Lepisosteus oculatus: one gene and its partner. The protein of the gene in region 1 binds, or shares a complex with, the protein of each later gene. Links are inferred from orthologs where the notes say so. Each region holds a gene or a part of one and is shown in the gene's direction. Other genes may lie near its edges.

The links.
Region 2: the proteins of setdb1a (region 1) and ube2e1 are in contact, whole or in part, in a crystal structure (PDB 8IYA), measured with the Homo sapiens proteins. The link is inferred for Lepisosteus oculatus from reciprocal best matches to the Homo sapiens genes SETDB1 and UBE2E1. Residues at the interface, in NP_001138887.1 of Homo sapiens: Glu868, Gly869, Tyr870, Glu871, Ser872; in NP_003332.1 of Homo sapiens: Asn125, Ser126, Gln127, Val129, Cys131, Leu132, Lys136, Asp163, Pro164, Leu165, Val166, Gly167, Ser168.

Annotation. Positions count from the first base shown.
Region 1 is NC_090722.1:6,979,575-6,988,138, forward strand, and holds the start of setdb1a (histone-lysine N-methyltransferase SETDB1-A), read left to right. Parts: upstream 1-4,620; 5' UTR 4,621-4,785; intron 4,786-4,818; exon of another isoform or gene 4,819-5,381; intron 5,382-6,082; exon of another isoform or gene 6,083-6,087; 5' UTR 6,088-6,119; coding exon 6,120-6,322; intron 6,323-6,524; coding exon 6,525-6,697; intron 6,698-7,207; coding exon 7,208-7,275; intron 7,276-7,691; coding exon 7,692-7,812; intron 7,813-8,564. Other genes in the region: aryl hydrocarbon receptor nuclear translocator-like, read right to left, coding at 644-665. UniProt on the Homo sapiens protein: Histone methyltransferase that specifically trimethylates 'Lys-9' of histone H3. H3 'Lys-9' trimethylation represents a specific tag for epigenetic transcriptional repression by recruiting HP1 (CBX1, CBX3 and/or CBX5) proteins to methylated histones.
Region 2 is NC_090705.1:30,783,381-30,791,951, forward strand, and holds the start of ube2e1 (ubiquitin-conjugating enzyme E2 E1), read left to right. Parts: upstream 1-4,216; 5' UTR 4,217-4,322; intron 4,323-4,861; exon of another isoform or gene 4,862-4,961; intron 4,962-5,180; 5' UTR 5,181-5,214; coding exon 5,215-5,372; intron 5,373-6,105; coding exon 6,106-6,156; intron 6,157-8,571. UniProt on the Homo sapiens protein: Accepts ubiquitin from the E1 complex and catalyzes its covalent attachment to other proteins. Catalyzes the covalent attachment of ISG15 to other proteins. Mediates the selective degradation of short-lived and abnormal proteins.

The DNA of each region.
Region 1 (8,564 bases):
AGGTTTTACAGTGCTGTCAGTCAGACTCCCAGTGCACAGCAGTCTGATCCACTCCAGGGTTTATAGTGCTGTCAGTCAGACTCCCAGTGCACAGCAGTCTGATCCACTCCAGGTTTTACAGTGCTGTCAGTTAGACTCCCAGTGCGCAGCAGTCTGATCCACTCCAGGTTTTACAGTGCTGTCAGTCGGGAATCATCATCAAGGCTACTTCTCTGACACTTTGAAGCGCTTTTCCTTTTAGCTTCAGCTGCTGTCCTGGCCAGTGAACGGACCAGCGCGACGCGAGTCACAGAGAGCCCCCTCCCCACGCACCCACCCAGTGCCAGCACCCAGCCGGCTTCAGACATCGCCTCGGCGAAACCCTCCCGCGACAGCCAGTCAGTCGGACAGCGACAGGAGAGAGAGGTTTCCTCCCTCCGGTTCGCCAGACGTCCCTGTGGGCTCGGGAGTGACCGGGCTGTCCAGGCTGTGGCGGACAGCCGGGCTCCAGCGGAAAGACCCCCCTCCCCAAAAAAAAACCCCGCCCGGTGACCCCCAGAGCCCCCGGCTCTGCCCCGTGAGGGCTCAGGGCTGGCAGGCCTGTTCTGACACCCCCGGGACACACACTCGCCCAGGGGCCGCACGCAATCGACGGGCTTCGTACCTGATGCCGAAGTCGAGGCCATGAACGTTAGAAAACATCCAGCCCTCGGCGCCTCCGCACGGTGTGGGACAGCGTGAGACACGGGTTGTCGGTTTTTTTCTTATTTTTCGAAAGATACTTTTTTTCCTCTTATGTTTTTGTTTTTTAAAAAAAACACACAGCGAAAACCCTCCCTTGAAACAAGATGGCAGTCTGGAGCGGAGGCCCGCGCGTCAACCGAACTCTTTGATTACAAAACGGATTAAAAACGTGTTAAAATGATGGGCGGTGCCTCTGTCCAATCAGTGATGACAAAGATTGGACGTACCTTTCTTTTGGCCAATAGAGATTCGGAATCTAGCAAAGGCAACAGAGAGATCCCGCCTTTCACACCAGGCTAGAATGATCTGAGGGGGCGGGCCGAAATCGGTGACGCCACACAGAATTGTTTAAAGGGACAGTCTGGGGCGGTTTGAGTGTTTTTAATCGAGATCTTTTGTATTTTTCCACAGGAAATGCGCTTGTTGTGAAAGATATTTCGACATCTGGTATTTGTCATCCTCCGCGGTCCCTGCAGGGAGAGAGTGATTTTGTGGAGAGGCGAGTTTCTGATTAATTATGTCGAGTACAGACCTGCAATCTCAGTGTTTAACATAAACACAAACACGAGAACAGGAACAAAAGGTGAAGGAGAGGAGCTACTTTTCCGTCAATTGATCCTAGAAGCGTTAAAGAAAACCCCAACCCTCTCTCACAATAATGTTTTATGTGGTGTATGCAAATATTGTGTTGATTGTGTCTGCTTTGGTAACACGTCATTCTTCTCATGCCAATAAAGCTCTTTCAGAAGTTGAATTTGAAACCAGGGTATCCGCTTCAGTAACGCAGCTCATTAAATCCTACAGTATTATGAAAACATTTGCTTATCATTCCTGTTCGTTAGCTTTGCAAAGGGGCCGTGGGGCAGCTGTTTGCTGACTCATCCCTGCACTGAATAACTTGTCACAGAAATCTTGTCCTTTGTAAAGCCCAGTGAGATCGGGGTAAAAGCACAGTACAGTGCAGTGAAGCCCAGTGAGATCGGGGTAAAAGCACAGTACAGGGCAGCCCAGTGAGATCAGGGTAAAAGCATAGTACAGTACAGTGCAGTACAGCACAATGAGATCAGGGTAAAAGCACAGTGCAGTGAAGCCCAGTGAGATCAGGGTAAAAGCCCAGTCCAGTGCAGTACAGCCCAGTGAGATCAGGGTAAAAGCGCAGTACAGTGCAGTAAAGCCCAGTGAGATCAGGGTAAAAGCATAGTGCAGTGCAGGATAGCCCAGTGGGATCAGGGTAAAAGCACAGTACAGTGCAGTACAGCCCAGTGAGATCAGGGTAAAAGCACAGTGAGATCAGGGTAAAAGTGCAGTACAGTACAGTAAAGCTCAGTGAGATCAGGGTAAAAGCACAGTCCAGTGCAGTCCAGCCCAGTGAGATGAGGGTAAACGCAGTAAAGAGTACACTAGCAGTGTCTGCTGCTGGTCCAGAGTCTGTGAAAGAGGAGCTGGCTGGCTTCACGCTGTCTCCACGGGGATGGCCCCTGTCTCCCAGTACTCCCATGAAGCGTGACGGGTTGCCGTGTGCCGGGTTACACGGCTCGGAGCAGGTGCCCTCTGTGGAGCGGGCCGCGGCGGCACCGCGCCGGGATCGGGTTCCCCTCGGCAGCGGGCCGGGCCGAAAGACAACACCAGGAGCGTGCTGAAGTATTCATGAGCCGGGGGGGACAGTGGCGCACACGAGGAAAACTCCCGCAGCCGAGCGCAGAGGTCCAGAACGAGCTGGATCGCTCCGGCAGCAGTGCATCCCTGCAGACCCTCCCGAATCCCGAAGGCAGGAGCGAGCGGCGAGGCGATACCGCCGCTGTGTGACCACACACACTAACCAGGGCATGGGTAAGTGTGAGGCCGCCGTTTCCCACACACACACCGGCTGATCCGCCATGTTCCCTACTGGAGTTCTGGGATCTGGCCTCGGAGAGGCAAGAAGTCACTGCATACGCTGTTAAAATTCCTTGAATTTCCGATTAAGGATTGTTTCGTTTTTCCCCAGCGTGTGACAGTGTTGGGTTCAGGGCACGTTTATGCTGCTTTCACTAGCTAGCTGCCCTGTACAGGTGTTAGCGCCAGGGTCAGGGGTCAGGGGTCAGGGGGTCACCCGTACCTGCGTTCCATAATGAGCCCCCTCCCGTTCCTGCACAATGGGACTCACCCCCCTGCGTCTCTCAGTCTCGACAGGGCTCTGCAGAACCCCGGTCCTGAGCCTGTAGCTGGGACCCAAACCGAACTGGATCCCACTGGGCCACTGCTGAGCCACCACCCCGCTGGAGGACCGGACTGGCGTCAGAGAGCGACTCTCGCACTGCCTGTCACGCACACTGCCTGGGGCGGACCGAGAGACCCGCGGGTCACTCTGCTGTTTGATTCCTGGGCTTTTCTGATTGTTTAATATGTTTACAGTAATAACATGGAGTTCATCCAGTTCGACGAGACTTTGCTCAAGTGAGGAGACCTGACAGGTCCAGGTGTTAAGGTCTTGTTACACCGGGAGGACAGCCGGTCCAGTGGATAAGACACAGGGCTGTTACACCAGGAGGACAGCCGGTCCAGTGGATAAGACACAGGGCTGTTACACCAGGAGGACAGCTGGTCCAGAGGTGAAGACACAGGGCTGGTACACCGGGAAGACAGCTGGTCCAGTGGTTAAGAAACAGGGCTGTAACACCAGGAGGACAGCTGGTCCAGATGGACACGGATGCCCCTCCCCAGCTCCCGGTGGACGTTGACAAGGGCTTCGCTCTGGCCTTCCTCTTCCTGCTGTGCTTCTTCCTGCTGGTGACGGTGGTGCGCTGCGCCCAGATGGTGGTCGACCCCTACAGTGCCATCCCCACCTCCACCTGGCAGGAGGAGCAGATCAGCAACTGAGGCTGAGAGCAGCACCCCCAGCGGCTGGGAGACTGGGGGCAGAGTGGGAGACTGGGAGACTGGGGGCAGAGTGGGAGACAGTGGACAAACTGGGAGACAGGCGGTAGACTGGGAGACTGGGGGCAGAGTGGGAGACTGGGGGTAGACTGGGAGACTGGGGGTAGACTGGGAGACAGGGGGTAGACTGGGAGACTGGGGGCAGAGTGGGAGACAGGCGGTAGACTGGGAGACAGGGGGCAGAGTGGGAGACAGTGGACAAACTGGGAGACAGGGGGCAGAGTGGGAGACAGTGGACAAACTGGGAGACTGGGGGCAGAGTGGGAGACAGGCGGTAGACTGGGAGACAGGGGGCGGAGTGGGAGACAGTGGACAAACTGGTAGACTGGGGGTAGACTGGGAGACTGGGCGCAGAGTGGGAGACTGGGGGTAGACTGGGAGACTGGGGGCACAGTGGGAGACAGGGGGCAGAGCTGGAGACAGGCGGTAGACTGGGAGACAGGGGGTAGACTGGGAGACTGGCGGTAGACTGGGCGACGGGGCAGGGCTGGACCATGGGGAGCAGTGTGCAGTTTTATCCAGACCAGGAGTTGCTGAAATAAAAGGATCTGGAAGAACGACTGTGTTTTGTGTCCTGTCTCAGAATTCCCAGCTCTGACCAGGAGGAGTGCACTGACCCACTGAGACAGAGTGGATTCTTGTACATTTATAGGTATCTGTGCCAGGCATTGACAGCCACGCTGCTTACACATTGCCCTGCTCAAGAATAATGCGTTCAGCAATTACAGAAGAGCTTCGACCACGTGTTGTAAACTCTAGGCATACAAACCCTTGACAGGTCAGCTCCCGCCAGAACCTCTGGCTGCACTGATTGGTTCAAACCGACGCCTATCACGGTTTAGCGCTCTTTATTGGACAAACCTGCCATCGTCGGAGGGGCCTTTCCTCTTACCTCACGCTACTGTGGAGCCTATTGGTTGCCTCCCCTATCACTCACGTCGATCAGCATTGCTGATTGGCGCTCATTAGGTCTGGGGGCGTGGCGACGACTGCAGTGGGCGTGTTCCCTCATGGACTCTCTCTGGGAAGGGGGAGAAAGGGAGACAAGCTCGGAGACTGGAATCTGGCTCAAAAATTTCTTTATGAAATAGCGAAAGAGTAATATCTACAGTGACCCTCTACCGGCGAAACGCCTTGGAAGGAGAGGTAATTCTGGTTAAAACCGGAGTCGTTTGTCGTTAATTTCTCAGGTGGGCAGACGTCGTTTTGTAGAGAGGGGACATCTGCGATAAAGAGCGAATGCTTACAGCTAAATTTGTCCAAATTATGGCTTTCGGTAACAACGTTTATTTCGTAAAGATAACCCCTTACTCTCATATTTACTGCATATAATCACAAATATGTAACTATATAGTTTTTTTTGTGAGAAATTAAAAGAACGCGATGAGGTGTTTTAAATTCGCCCTCACCTTACGTCAGACCCGCGCGCCCTGCGAGCGCAGCGCATGGTATGCTGGGAGTTGATGTTTTCTTCGTCGTAACTCTCCTTCGTATTTAAAGAATTGCGGGAGATAAAAAACTACATTTCCCATGACGTTCATTTGCCGCAGTAACACCGCCTTCATCGCCTTCAATGGAGGTGCTCAATGCAGATGACGAGTTGTTTTTAAAATACATTTATATTTTGAAGTCTTCCTTCCGCAAAGGTTTTGGATCTAAATCAGTACCCCTCGTTTCGTCTCGTCTCGCAGCCGAAGCTGCTGCTAATTCTAAAAGTGTGGAAAATTGAAAACGTGCGTGAGGTTAGTAGTGATCTCAACGAACTTCAACAACCTTTTGTGTAAAATTAGTTCTGCTCTACGCGTAACATCATTGAACACCTGAAAACGTTCGCTGTGTAGGTTTCTGCTATAGTCCGGTGTCCGAAGCCCAAGAACACTGTAGGACCTCTGTCCTGCAGCCACAAGGTCGCCACATCACGTAACATGTGTACTCATCTCTAGGTCAGATACTCAGCAGTAGGAGGTGTACTCCTTCGGTATTAATGTTAAACAGAAGTCCTGCTGGTCACTACAGACCCCAGGACACTGTCAGTAAGAGTGGGGTGTTGACCCTGGTGTCCTGACTACTGGTCACTACAGATCCCAGGACACTGTCAGAGTGGGGTGTCAACACCAGTGTCTTTTGGATTCCTTTGGGGTAAAGGGGACTGTAGTTTTCTTACAATGTTACACTCACAGCAGTGTACCTCTCTCTCAGTGCAGTGTTAATGTACTGGAGTGTCCAGTCAGTGTGTCTGTATGAACCCCTCTCTCTCAGTGCAGTGTTAATGTACTGGAGTGTCCAGTCAGTGTGTCTGTATTAACCCCTCTCTCTCAGTGCAGCGTTAATGTACTGGAGTGTCCAGTCAGTGTGTCTGTATGAACCCCTCTCTCTCAGTGCAGTGTTAATGTACTGGAGTGTCCAGTCTGTCAGTGTGTCTGTATGAACCCCTCTCTCTCAGTGCAGTGTGTCTCGGTGCTGTGTGTCCGCTGCTGCAGATGGACGAGGTGGAGATGGAGCAGGAGCTGCAGGAGGAGCTGGGTGTGTCCCTGGACGAGCTGCGGCAGTGGGTCCGGGAGGAGATCCTCAGGAGCGAGGCTGTGGCCAGGAAGACGGCCGAGCTGGAGCAGCTGGAGCGCCAGGTGCAGCAGAGGGAGGCGGAGGTGTCGCGCGTGGACCGGCTCTTCGACACCGCCTTCCAGTGAGTGACCTGTCCCCGGGACAGCGCTGTCAGGGGGTGTCCTGTCCCCGGGGCAGCGCGGTCAGGGGGTGTCCTGTTCTGAGGACAGTGAGTGACAGGTCTCTCTGCTTGTTCTGAGGACAGTGTGGCCAATGACTGGCCTTGAGGTGTGTCCAGTGGTCAATGTGGTCAGTGAGTGACCAGTCCTGTGGTGTCCCCCCAGGTCGATGCAGGAATGTGAGGGCCTGGTTCGAGACCTCTACTCCAGCATGGGTCTGACGTACCGCGACAGCAGCTCGGACGATGATCAGGGGGATCGTCTGGCCCTCAGGCCCTCTGAGGTCATCGAGATCGATGATGATGACGACGACGATGATGTTGTGGCTGTGGGATGCAGTACGTGTTGAATACGAATTCCTTCCCTCTTATATAGCACCTTTCACACCAGAGGATCCCAGAGCACAGCCTCCCATGAGCTGCACAATCTGAGTTGCCTGGACAGGCGCCTGCTGGTGTCCAGCTGTATTAAACCAGAGGTCAGGCACCAGTCTGGTGTCCAGCTGTATTAAACCAGAGGTCAGGCGCCTGTCCGGTGTCTGCCTCTTCAAGGCTCAGGAATATTTAGCGTGAAGAATCATCCCACGCCTGTTGTTTCTGTGTGCAGGGCACTATATAAATTCAAAGAAACAAGTAAAGGTTTATTCCATGCTGAAAAGAAAAGAAAAGAAACGTTTGTGTTTCGGGTGTGAAGAAGGCTCCACAGCCAAAACGTTGTTTTTCCTTGATTCTCTTTTCAGCAGGAATAAACCTTTACTTGTTCCTTTGCAGCCGACGCACACTGACACAGGTACCTGCTTGAGCTGTATAAATTCCATATTGATCTCCTTTCCTGTCCCTCCATCACAGTCACTCCGGCCCACCCGAATGTCACCTCTCCAGCCAAGAAAGTGACCACCCCCGTCAAGGATTCCACAGTGAGTGTCTGGTCACTCTTTCTCCTCCTGCTGTGTCCATAGTCTCCTGTTCTCTTCTCTGTGCTGTCTAAACAGAGCGAGGCTTTCTGTGTGCTGTATAGTTTTGGGCTGTGTGTGTGCGCTGTGCAATATCGTGCTGTGTGCTCTGAGGCTGTGTGCTCTGAGGCTGTGTGCTCTGAGGCTGTGTGCTCTGAGGCTGTGTGCTCTGAGGCTGTGTGCTCTGAGGCTGTGTGCTCTGAGGCTGTGTGCTCTGAGGCTATGTGCTCTGAGGCTGTGTGTGTGTCCTGTATAGTTTCAGGCTGTGTGTGTGTTTTGTACAGTATTGGGCTGTGTGCTTTGATGCTGTGTGTGTGTGCTGTACAGTATCAGGCTGTGTGGTGTGATTCTTCCCCAGATAAATCTCTCTGTCTCTCTAGTTTGATGACGCAGCGGCAGCCTTGAAGAAATCGTCTCAGGATGTGCAGAAGCTGGCCGAGACCATGTCCAAGAAGACTGCGCCTGCGCTGCCCTCGACACTACTGCGTTCATCCAGCAGGGGTCAGTGTCTGTCTGGCCTCGGGGCGGGGCTGAGGGCTTTGAGACTGGAGACAGGTTTGATAGTGTCTGTCAGCATTGTGAGACAGGTGGGGTGGTGCCTGATGTCTGCCAGGGCTCAGAGACTGGAGACAGAGACGGGTGTGGTGGTGTCTGGCGGGGCTCTGAGTCGGGAGACGGAGTCGGGTGTGGTGGTGTCTGGCGGGGCTCCGAGTCGGGTGTGGTGGTCTCTGGCGGGGCTCTGAGTCGGGTGTGGTGGTGTCTGGCGGGGCTCTGAGACGCGAGACAGAGACGGGTGTGGTGGTGTCTGTCGGGGCTCTGAGTCGGGTGTGGTGGTGTCTGGCGGGGCTCTGAGTCGGGTGTGGTGGTGTCTGGCGGGGCTCTGAGTCGGGTGTGGTGGTGTCTGGCGGGGCTCTGAGTCGGGTGTGGTGGTGTCTGTCGGGGCTCTGAGTCGGGTGTGGTGGTGTCTGGCGGGGCTCTGAGTCGGGTGTGGTGGTCTCTGGCGGGGCTCTGAGGGTGTGGTGGTGTCTGGCGGGGCTCTGAGTCGGGTGTGGTGGTGTCTGGCGGGGCTCTGAGTCGGGTGTGGTGGTCTCTGGCGGGGCTCTGAGTCGGGTGTGGTGGTGTCTGGCGGGGCTCTGAGTCGGGTGTGGTGGTCTCTGGCGGGGCTCTGAGTCGGGTGTGGTGGTGTCTGTCGGGGCTCCGAGTCGGGTGTGGTGGTGTCTGGCGGGGCTCTGAGTCGGGTGTGGTGGTCTCTG
Region 2 (8,571 bases), on another chromosome or scaffold:
TCAGATTTACATTGCATTGCAAAAATAGCATTACATTTTGTTTTGTTTTTTATTTTGTCAGGGTTTGGCAGATACAAGCAGCAGTCTAGATTACATGCTAAATAAAAAAGTCAAAACACCCCAAGAAAAGATAACTCCAATTAAGAGGAGCAAATGATCTCAAAATAATTACACATAGGGTTTGTTGACCTCAGAAGGCTGTTATTGTCTCAAAGAAATATGCAACAAAATACTGACTTGTATTTGTATGACTTGTGAATGTGTTGCAGCACCTTCAGTTAAAATCACTGCAGTAAACCAAGGTATTGTTTTGTTTTAATATGTTCGAATGTATGCTTGGAATGAGGCCTACTTCAAAATAAAACTTACAATATATTGTACTTATCATTCAAATTAATCTCTTGATCACAGCTCCAAAACACACGACTGAAAAACAAAAATAACAGTTTTGACAGTGTTGTTGTGACCTATTTGAAGGCACTCTGCTTCAATAGATATTCCCGTGAATAGGTTTTGAACACTCAAAGGGTTTCAAGGATTAATTCCTACTTTTATTTCTCGTGCACTGTGTAAAATGTCATAGCTGAAGTATGCATGCTTTAACAACTGAAAGCTCAGCTCTTAGCTCTTTTTCCAGATAGGCTGGACTCCTTTAGGGAAGAAAAAAACTCTTTGGTACAGTATCCAACAATGACCTACAACCTGGATTTGCCAGTCCAGTGCTTTAATAGTTTCTCTCTTTCCTAGTGTTAATCCCGCATCAGAAGGGTCCGCTTGTTGGCACAGCAGTCTCCGTTTGGTGGTTTGAACCAAATCTTTGAGCAGACGTTGCCATTAACTGCGACCAAGAAATATTCCAACCGGCGCGTCGCTCCACCTGCCGTCGGAATGGAAAGGGGGGGTTCGAGAACAAAGTAATGAAGCCAATTCATAGAGGGGGATTATTAGGAGGCCATGATTGATAAAGGCCGATGGGAAATTTGGCCAGGACGCCGGGGTTACACCCCTACTCTTTTCGAGAAACACCCCGGGAGTTTTAATGACCACAGAGAGTCAGGACCTCGGTTTTAAGTCTCATCCGGAGGACGGCGCCTGTTTACAGTATAGTGTCCCCGTCACTATACTGGGGCATTAGGACCCACATGGACCATAGGGCGAGCACCCCCTGCTGGCCCCACTGACACCTCTTCCAGCAGCAACCTTAGTTTTTCCCAGGAGGTCTCCCAGCCAGGTACTGACCAGGCTCACACCTGCTTAGCTTCAGTGGCCAGTTGTGAGTTGCAGGGTGATATGGCTGTTGGCCATTTAATAGTTTGACAGAAGAAAAAACAGAAACTCTCTCAAGTACAGTATATGATTTCTCAGATTCAACTGATGCTGAAAGATTCTGGGGAATTTGTAGACTGGAGGAACCCTGATTTTTACTGAGTTCTACCAGACAAGATTAATGAATAATTGTTGTTTCTATTTATATACTGCTTTTCATCCCAAGGGATCTTGAAGCATTTTACAATAGTTTCTTCATATTAATTTCTGTCTAGATGTGTTTACACATTTCTGTCCCTTCAATTAGATATTTGCAAAGAGTATACAAATACAGTTTCTTAACTTCAAACCAACTTCCTCTTACAGTGTTTAAAACCAGTAAAGGTTTTTTTTAATCTATTTCCGGGAGCTACAAAGTACAGTATGTTTTATTTGTTTCTGTGATATCTTTACATTTTAGAATTTCATTTTAAAAACCATGATATGAATGCCCATCTTGCTCACAGCTGAAATTTGTCAACATGTTGACTCTCCGTCTTTCACTGCTCCTACAGAGCTCCAGTCCATTACCCAATCTACTGTTCCATCTGGGTGCCCACTCCTGCCCAGGACAGACTGGGATGATACGACCCCCCTCTTCCTGTATTCCCTCACCAGATGTATTATGTAACATGAACGTCTCCACAAGACAGGCCCTGATAAGGCAACGATCCACCCACAATTACTCAGCACACCGTGATATTTGTAAAAATACAGAAGTTTGTTGAGTTTGACTAGTTTAGTAATCCCAATTACAGATTGTGACGCATATAGCCTGTTTGGTAAAAAGAAAATCCTGGGTTTTTTTTTTTGGTTCTCTCATTTTTTTTCTGTTAAGGTGTTGCCAGGCTTTAAAAATCCATAGTATAGCCTTGTCTTGCGTTCCTGTGCTTCTCAGACAGGCTCAGGTGTGCTACAACTATTACCGTGAATAAGCATCTTACCGATAATTAATGTATTTAGAACACTTCTGCAGGACTGTGGATCCTCAAACATTAGTATACAGTAATAGGAATAGAAAAACAACTGACAGTTCTATAACTTTTAAAAAACGGTTTGATCTGCAAACTGTTCTGCTTCCTTCTTAATGACCCTCTGTCAAGAAGGCTATCCAGAAGCGTAGGTGGGTACTGTGTTTTGTCTAGTCGTAGAAGCGCCCTTTTTTTAACACTATTTGAATGAACAAGACCTGGAAGGCCTGGTCACCTTAATGTCTGGGTTATAGGCAGACAAATCAAGGACTCAAGGGGCAGGGTGCAGCAGGGTTTCTCATTCTTTAGAAATCAACATCATCAACAGTTGAAGATCTTTGAAAATTGTTAAATTTGGTGCAGTAAAACGTATGATTAAGAGCAGCCATGGAATAAAATTCCACACCCCTTGTCTAGGTCTTATGACTGAATGTTTTGGTGAAGAGGTTTCAGACTCATTTCCTGTAGGGCCTGATGTTTTTTTTTTCTACTCATGCTCTCATTTATACCAATTGGTCAGATTATTTCATTAACAGCACAATTTTTATACTTTGCTCCTGGCTCTGAGGTGTTTTCTAAGTAACAGTAAGTAAAACATGAAATGTAAATGAAACAACTGTTTTAGTAATCAACTGTAAAAGATTTTTTTAAACTCTAAATATGTAAAATTAAAACAAAATGTTGTGTAATCGGTGCTCAAATTAGAATAAAAAAATGAGAAGACACTAGACCCTCCAGGAACTGACATAATTGGGGAGGGTTTTGTCATTCAAGACATCAGTATAGCAATACTAGTGTATGGCAAAATAAAGTGGTCTTGCTTGTTCTAAACTCAGGACAGATTTGTTTTTGTATTGTGAAGAGAACATTTAAAAGTAAAAAAAAAACGTATTTTATTTTGGAATCACAGCAATGAATAGCGAGGTTAGAATTAAAAACAGGGTCTCATACTCAGTTCTCTAAATTAGACATTTATGTAAATGTTATTGAGGTCTTCTATAGTTGATAAACAAGACATTCACTTCATTTAAGGTCCAGTTAACAATAATCATCTTAGAGCCTGGTTAGAAATATTAGAATTCAGCACCTAGTTAAATCACACCAACAATGTCATCGAGAACGTGGGTGAAAAAAAACTCAGAAGACACGAGTCCCTCCAGGAATTGAGTTTGAGACCCCTGTAATAAGGGATGGAATAACCCAGCGTTGTCTTGCAAACTAATCTGAGACAAGTATGTGGAGACGAGGTCAAAACTGTCACGTCCCACAACCTGTAAAGTAATACTAATATTATAAGGAATAACCGGGGGGAGGGAGGTGGTAAAGTGGTACTGTCATATGTTGTCTTCTGCTTTTCTGTTACGCAGGAAGAATTACACCGCTGGTTAGTTCTTCCATGACATAAAATATCTCGTTTCAGTTTAACGTAGTAGTGTCCAAACGGGGGATTTCCTTAAAATAATTTTCATAGAGTTGCTTTGCCACAAAACTTTGAAAATGTAAAAAAAATAAATAAACCTCCCTACACAGCGCATGCTATTAATTTTGTCCGGAGAATTGCCAAGACCAACAAGCACATCAGAATGATTTGTTGAGGTTGCTTACATGAGAAGAAATACAAATTCTTTGGCTTTGAATTATTCACAACACTATGAGTGATATGCAGCTTTGTATCAATTATTTAACAAATGCTGATTCTCTTGCCCATCCCTTTTTAAAACACACATTCTAAGAAAGTAACACGTACATTAACTGTGGATATCAATGTTGACACGAAATGGTGATATACGTGTATTCGAGTATGCTTTAGGTACAGGAAGGGGTTTAGAAAAAAAAAATAAACAATTGTGGCCATGTGAATACTCAGATCTCGGTTCACATCCAGACTCCCCCACCCCGTGTTTTTCCTTGACATTATCATTTGCGAGCGAGTCCGATAGAATAGAAGCCATTGCCTGTTTAATAGCTGCTGCTGCAGCAGCACTTCCGCTCCGCGAGAGGGGAGAGACACGAGCCCAGGCAGCGGAGTCACAGACACAAAGAGAGGTACCGTTTAAAAGACGAAAATATTCTTTAATGCCAGTAAATACTCTCCTTAACGGCCCCCGGTAGGTCTCTGGCATCGACAGGGGGCCGCCTGTAGAAGTTTTTGCGAGGTTAACGAGGATATTAACCTGTCGGAAAAAGCAGAATGAAGAAAAGGATCCGAGCGACGAGTGGAGCTGAATAGACAGATCGGTTGCAATGTTGAGAGGAGAGAGAAAAAAAAAAGGAGACACTGCTGATATACCCCCGCAAGGAAGACCAGAGGTTAAATTGATCAGTTGGATGAAACCCGTTTGAGATTTTAGGCTTTGGTTAGTTGTTTTTCGGGGTGTGAAGTTTGATCAACTATATGGGGTCTTGGGGACTGAAAAGCAAGTCAAACATTTCCAGAATGGATGCGACGTTGGGGTAGCCAGATACATGAGAGTACGGATATATATCTATCTATTTATCTTTCATTAGCTGTGCGGAGCTGTACCCAGTTCCCAGCTGTGAGCTGGCTGTCTCTGAATTGCTGGGGTGCAGGTAAATATTCATTCCCACTCCGGCGAAGTGTGTTGTTTGGGAGAGGAGCACAAGGCGTTGGGAGGAACGGAGGAGTTCAGGACAGTTGTTTGGCACATTAGTCTCGGACAGAAAGTAAGTTCCCTTGACTTCAGAAAATCGGAGTTTAGGGGGGTGTTTTGCCCTGGCTGCACAACTTCACACGCAGTCTTTAGGAGTGGCGACCGTGAGAAGGTGCAAAGAGGCTGATCTTGGGGGTAAACCCACATGCCACAGGCGTGTCGTCTACCAGTCTTATTTGGTATGCATTTATTTCGGAAGCTAACCCTCGATTCCCTCTGCTCGCCTTTCCAGGTTGGGTTTTTTTTTTCCGTTCCGTGCGGCCGGTATGTCGGATGAGGATTCGAGGGCCAGTACTAGCTCATCGTCGTCGTCTTCCTCGTCCTCCGCTCAACATCAGAAGGAGAAAGAAACAACCAGCAAGAAGAAGGAGAGCAAAGCCAGTATGAGCAAAACCTCCAAACTGCTTTCTACGAGCGCAAAGAGGTAAAGGGGGAATCGGTTGAGGGCTGAGCAATGCCAGTTATCACCGGTCGGACAGCCATTGTATCGGGACAGAAAGAGTTAACGCTTAGTGTGATATTAGCAACCCTTGGCTGTGTGCGATCTAGTTTTCAGGTTAAACACATTTTTTTTTTCCTTGGGAGGACTGCAGTAGCGTCATACGAACCAACTTCGTATTAAGATGTATTTGGAAGCTCATCCACCAGTTCTTAGTCCTGATAGCTTCCCAGCCCGAAGAAAACCACCCCTTCTTTGAGAATGAGTGGGTTTTACTTCGTATTTTTTTAAATATGATTATTTAAATTCAGGCTCATGCTGAAATAACACTTTCTCCCATGCAACCGACGCTTCCTCAGGCGTGTCTCCTTTAAGAGATCTCACAACAAGCTCAGCTATTCTGTTTCAATGGGGAACCAGCTCATTTGCATATTAGCTTAAGCAGTTTATTGCGAAAATTAGGAGGGGGGGATTGGCGAAATTCCTTCGGTAGCTGCTTGTAAGGCGAAGGTATTTTGGCTCCAGGTGAGGGCCACCCGCGAAATCAGTCCAGAAGTGGGTTATTTCATCTTTAAAATATTGGTGAGTAGGAGCTGCTGGGAGCGGCCATGTTTGTTTCGCAGGCAGAGGTCAGCAGCTGTGCCTGCGTGCGATGTAAATCACTGATTCCTTCGGTACCGACTGATCGAGACTAACGAGTGGTTTCTGTTTCCTTCAGAATCCAGAAGGAGCTGGCAGATATCACTCTGGACCCTCCTCCGAACTGCAGGTACCCGGGTTTGGTTATTTTATTATTACGGTTAGGATTTCCCTATCAAGAGTGCTTCCTTAAAGGCGCAGAGCTTGGCTGTGAATTTGTGTCGGCCGACAGCAATCGCCTGGTACGACTCGGGAGATTATTCAGTATTGTGCTGCATCCTTTTTGTGTTCTGGCAAGAGACCGTTAAGGCATAATCAGAGATACTGTGCGAGATCCTCGTAGTCATCTAAATAATTTAGAAAGGACCACACCGGTTTTTTGTTCCCTAAGAGGTGAGCTGTTAAAAAGAAATCGGATTCCCTCTGTGCAATGCAGAGGAATGGGAGAAGGGGTCGGGATTTTCCCCCTCCTTGTGTCATTGCACAGTATAAAGGTTTCTTTTGGCTCAGCAGGGGCAAAAGAGAAATAGACTTTACATGAACGGAAATAGCAGTGATTTTATTTTTGATGGCGTTTGCATTCATCTTACACAGTCACGTAAAGCTGTTTCTTTAAACTTATAATGAGAAAGATGCACCTGTGCAAAATACACTTTCAAATGTGTATTGTCTCTTTATTTTGTGCAGTTGTTTAACAGTTTAATATATCCACTAATACATTATATTTAAAGTATGTTTTCCAAATAACTTTGAGGACATTTCACTAAACCTTTTCAACACCCTTATTCCCATAGGGACTGTTTGTTTTGGGATTGATTCAGTGAATTGTTTTTTTAATTATTAGTATGCTAGTTCTGTGTAAGATTTTAGAGTGTTTTTATGCTGGAAACCTTGCTTGTCATTGGTCAGTGATTGATTGTGTACCTATAACAATTCTTAAAAAGCTGTCTTCATTCAGGCAGTTGGTAACAATAATGAGTTGCATTTATATATTACTTTTCAGCTTAAAGGATCCCAGAGCACTTTCCTTTATAACCAGGGTCCCACTTCATCCTCTACTCATAACCGAGATAGAGGTGTAGCTTTTTTTGCATCACCAGCTCCAATACATTGCAGATCAGGTGTGGAAGACAGAAATTTCTTAAGAGCAGGAGATTCACAAATGAAAGGAAGCCATTTGGACCATCTGAGCTGTTCACCAGTTCTGCTTCACCAGGTGGATTAACGCAGAAATGAGGTACTCCAGATTGGGCAAGACCAGAACAAAAGTCAGACTGGACATCTAAGTTAACGCCCGTGCTCTTAGAAACAGTACCGTGGAATCTTTAATAACCAAGTCGACAGGATCTCATTTTAGCATCTCATCCACACAACAGCACCTCTCCCTGCACTTTATATTATATTGTAACGCAACGGGGGCTCAGGCGGGCGCCCTTGCCGCATCTGGTCGGCCCCTGCACCATCGGGGGCTCGAACCCGGGACTTCCGCGTCTCTCTGCAGCGACCTAGCCCCGTGAGCTAAAGAGAGATCTCTTCACAGCCCAGTAGCTGTGGTCCTGCTATCACAGGGAAGGGCGGTGACGTCACCCGCTCTGGTACGCCGGCTCTTACACAGTGCCTGTCGGCCGTAAGCGTTACAATATTTACTTAGTACAAAGTAAAAGTTTCATAGAAACAAGGGGACTAAACATCCTTAGAAACTGAGAAGAGGCAGTTGTCTCCCTATTATTCTTATTATTGCCTTTATGTTATAAGCGCAGAATTAAAATTAAGTAATGTTATGTTAAGATTGGATCAAATCGTAAAATGCACTGCAATACCATGCATTTGTGTACAGTTTTGGTCGTCGCAACATAGAAAACAAATTGCTGCTTTAGAATCAGTCCAGAGAAGACCCACTAGATACATTTCAGGATTTAAGGGAATATCCTACACTGACAAGCTGAAGGAACTGAACCTTTTTGGTCTTGAACAAAGACTATGAGGGGAGCTGACAAAAGGATTCAAAATTCTTAAAGGCAACAGAGTTAATTTCTTCAGAGACTTGAAGCAAAGGGCACAAGTGGTAACTTAAATGAAAGTTCTTTTAAAGCTCGGAACAGGAGGCATGCCTTTATCCGAAGGGTTGTTGGAGGATGGAACACGCTATCTCACTATGTTGTTCAAGTCAGTCCCTGGTTTTTAAAGATTGGCTGGAGGAGATCCTAGGAATAATTCAGTGGTAACTATGGGGTAGATGGGCCAAATGGCATACTCTCACTTGTAAACCTTTCATATGGTTTATGTCCTTGAGAGAAAGGCTTTTCAGCCCATGATACAAGCACCTATACTGGTGAACTACACCTTGCCAATAGTTTGTAGCACCAGTTAAAGTTAAATCTACTGATTTGTTGCTGATTGTATATACTGAATCAGCGCTATAAAGAAAAGTCATTTAGAAATAGTAAATCACCCTCCCCACTGCCAACACTACTGGAGGAGGTGGTAAGCAGCAGTGTTGGAGTGGCAGGGGTACCCCAACATCGCCCAAAAGGATGAAATCGCT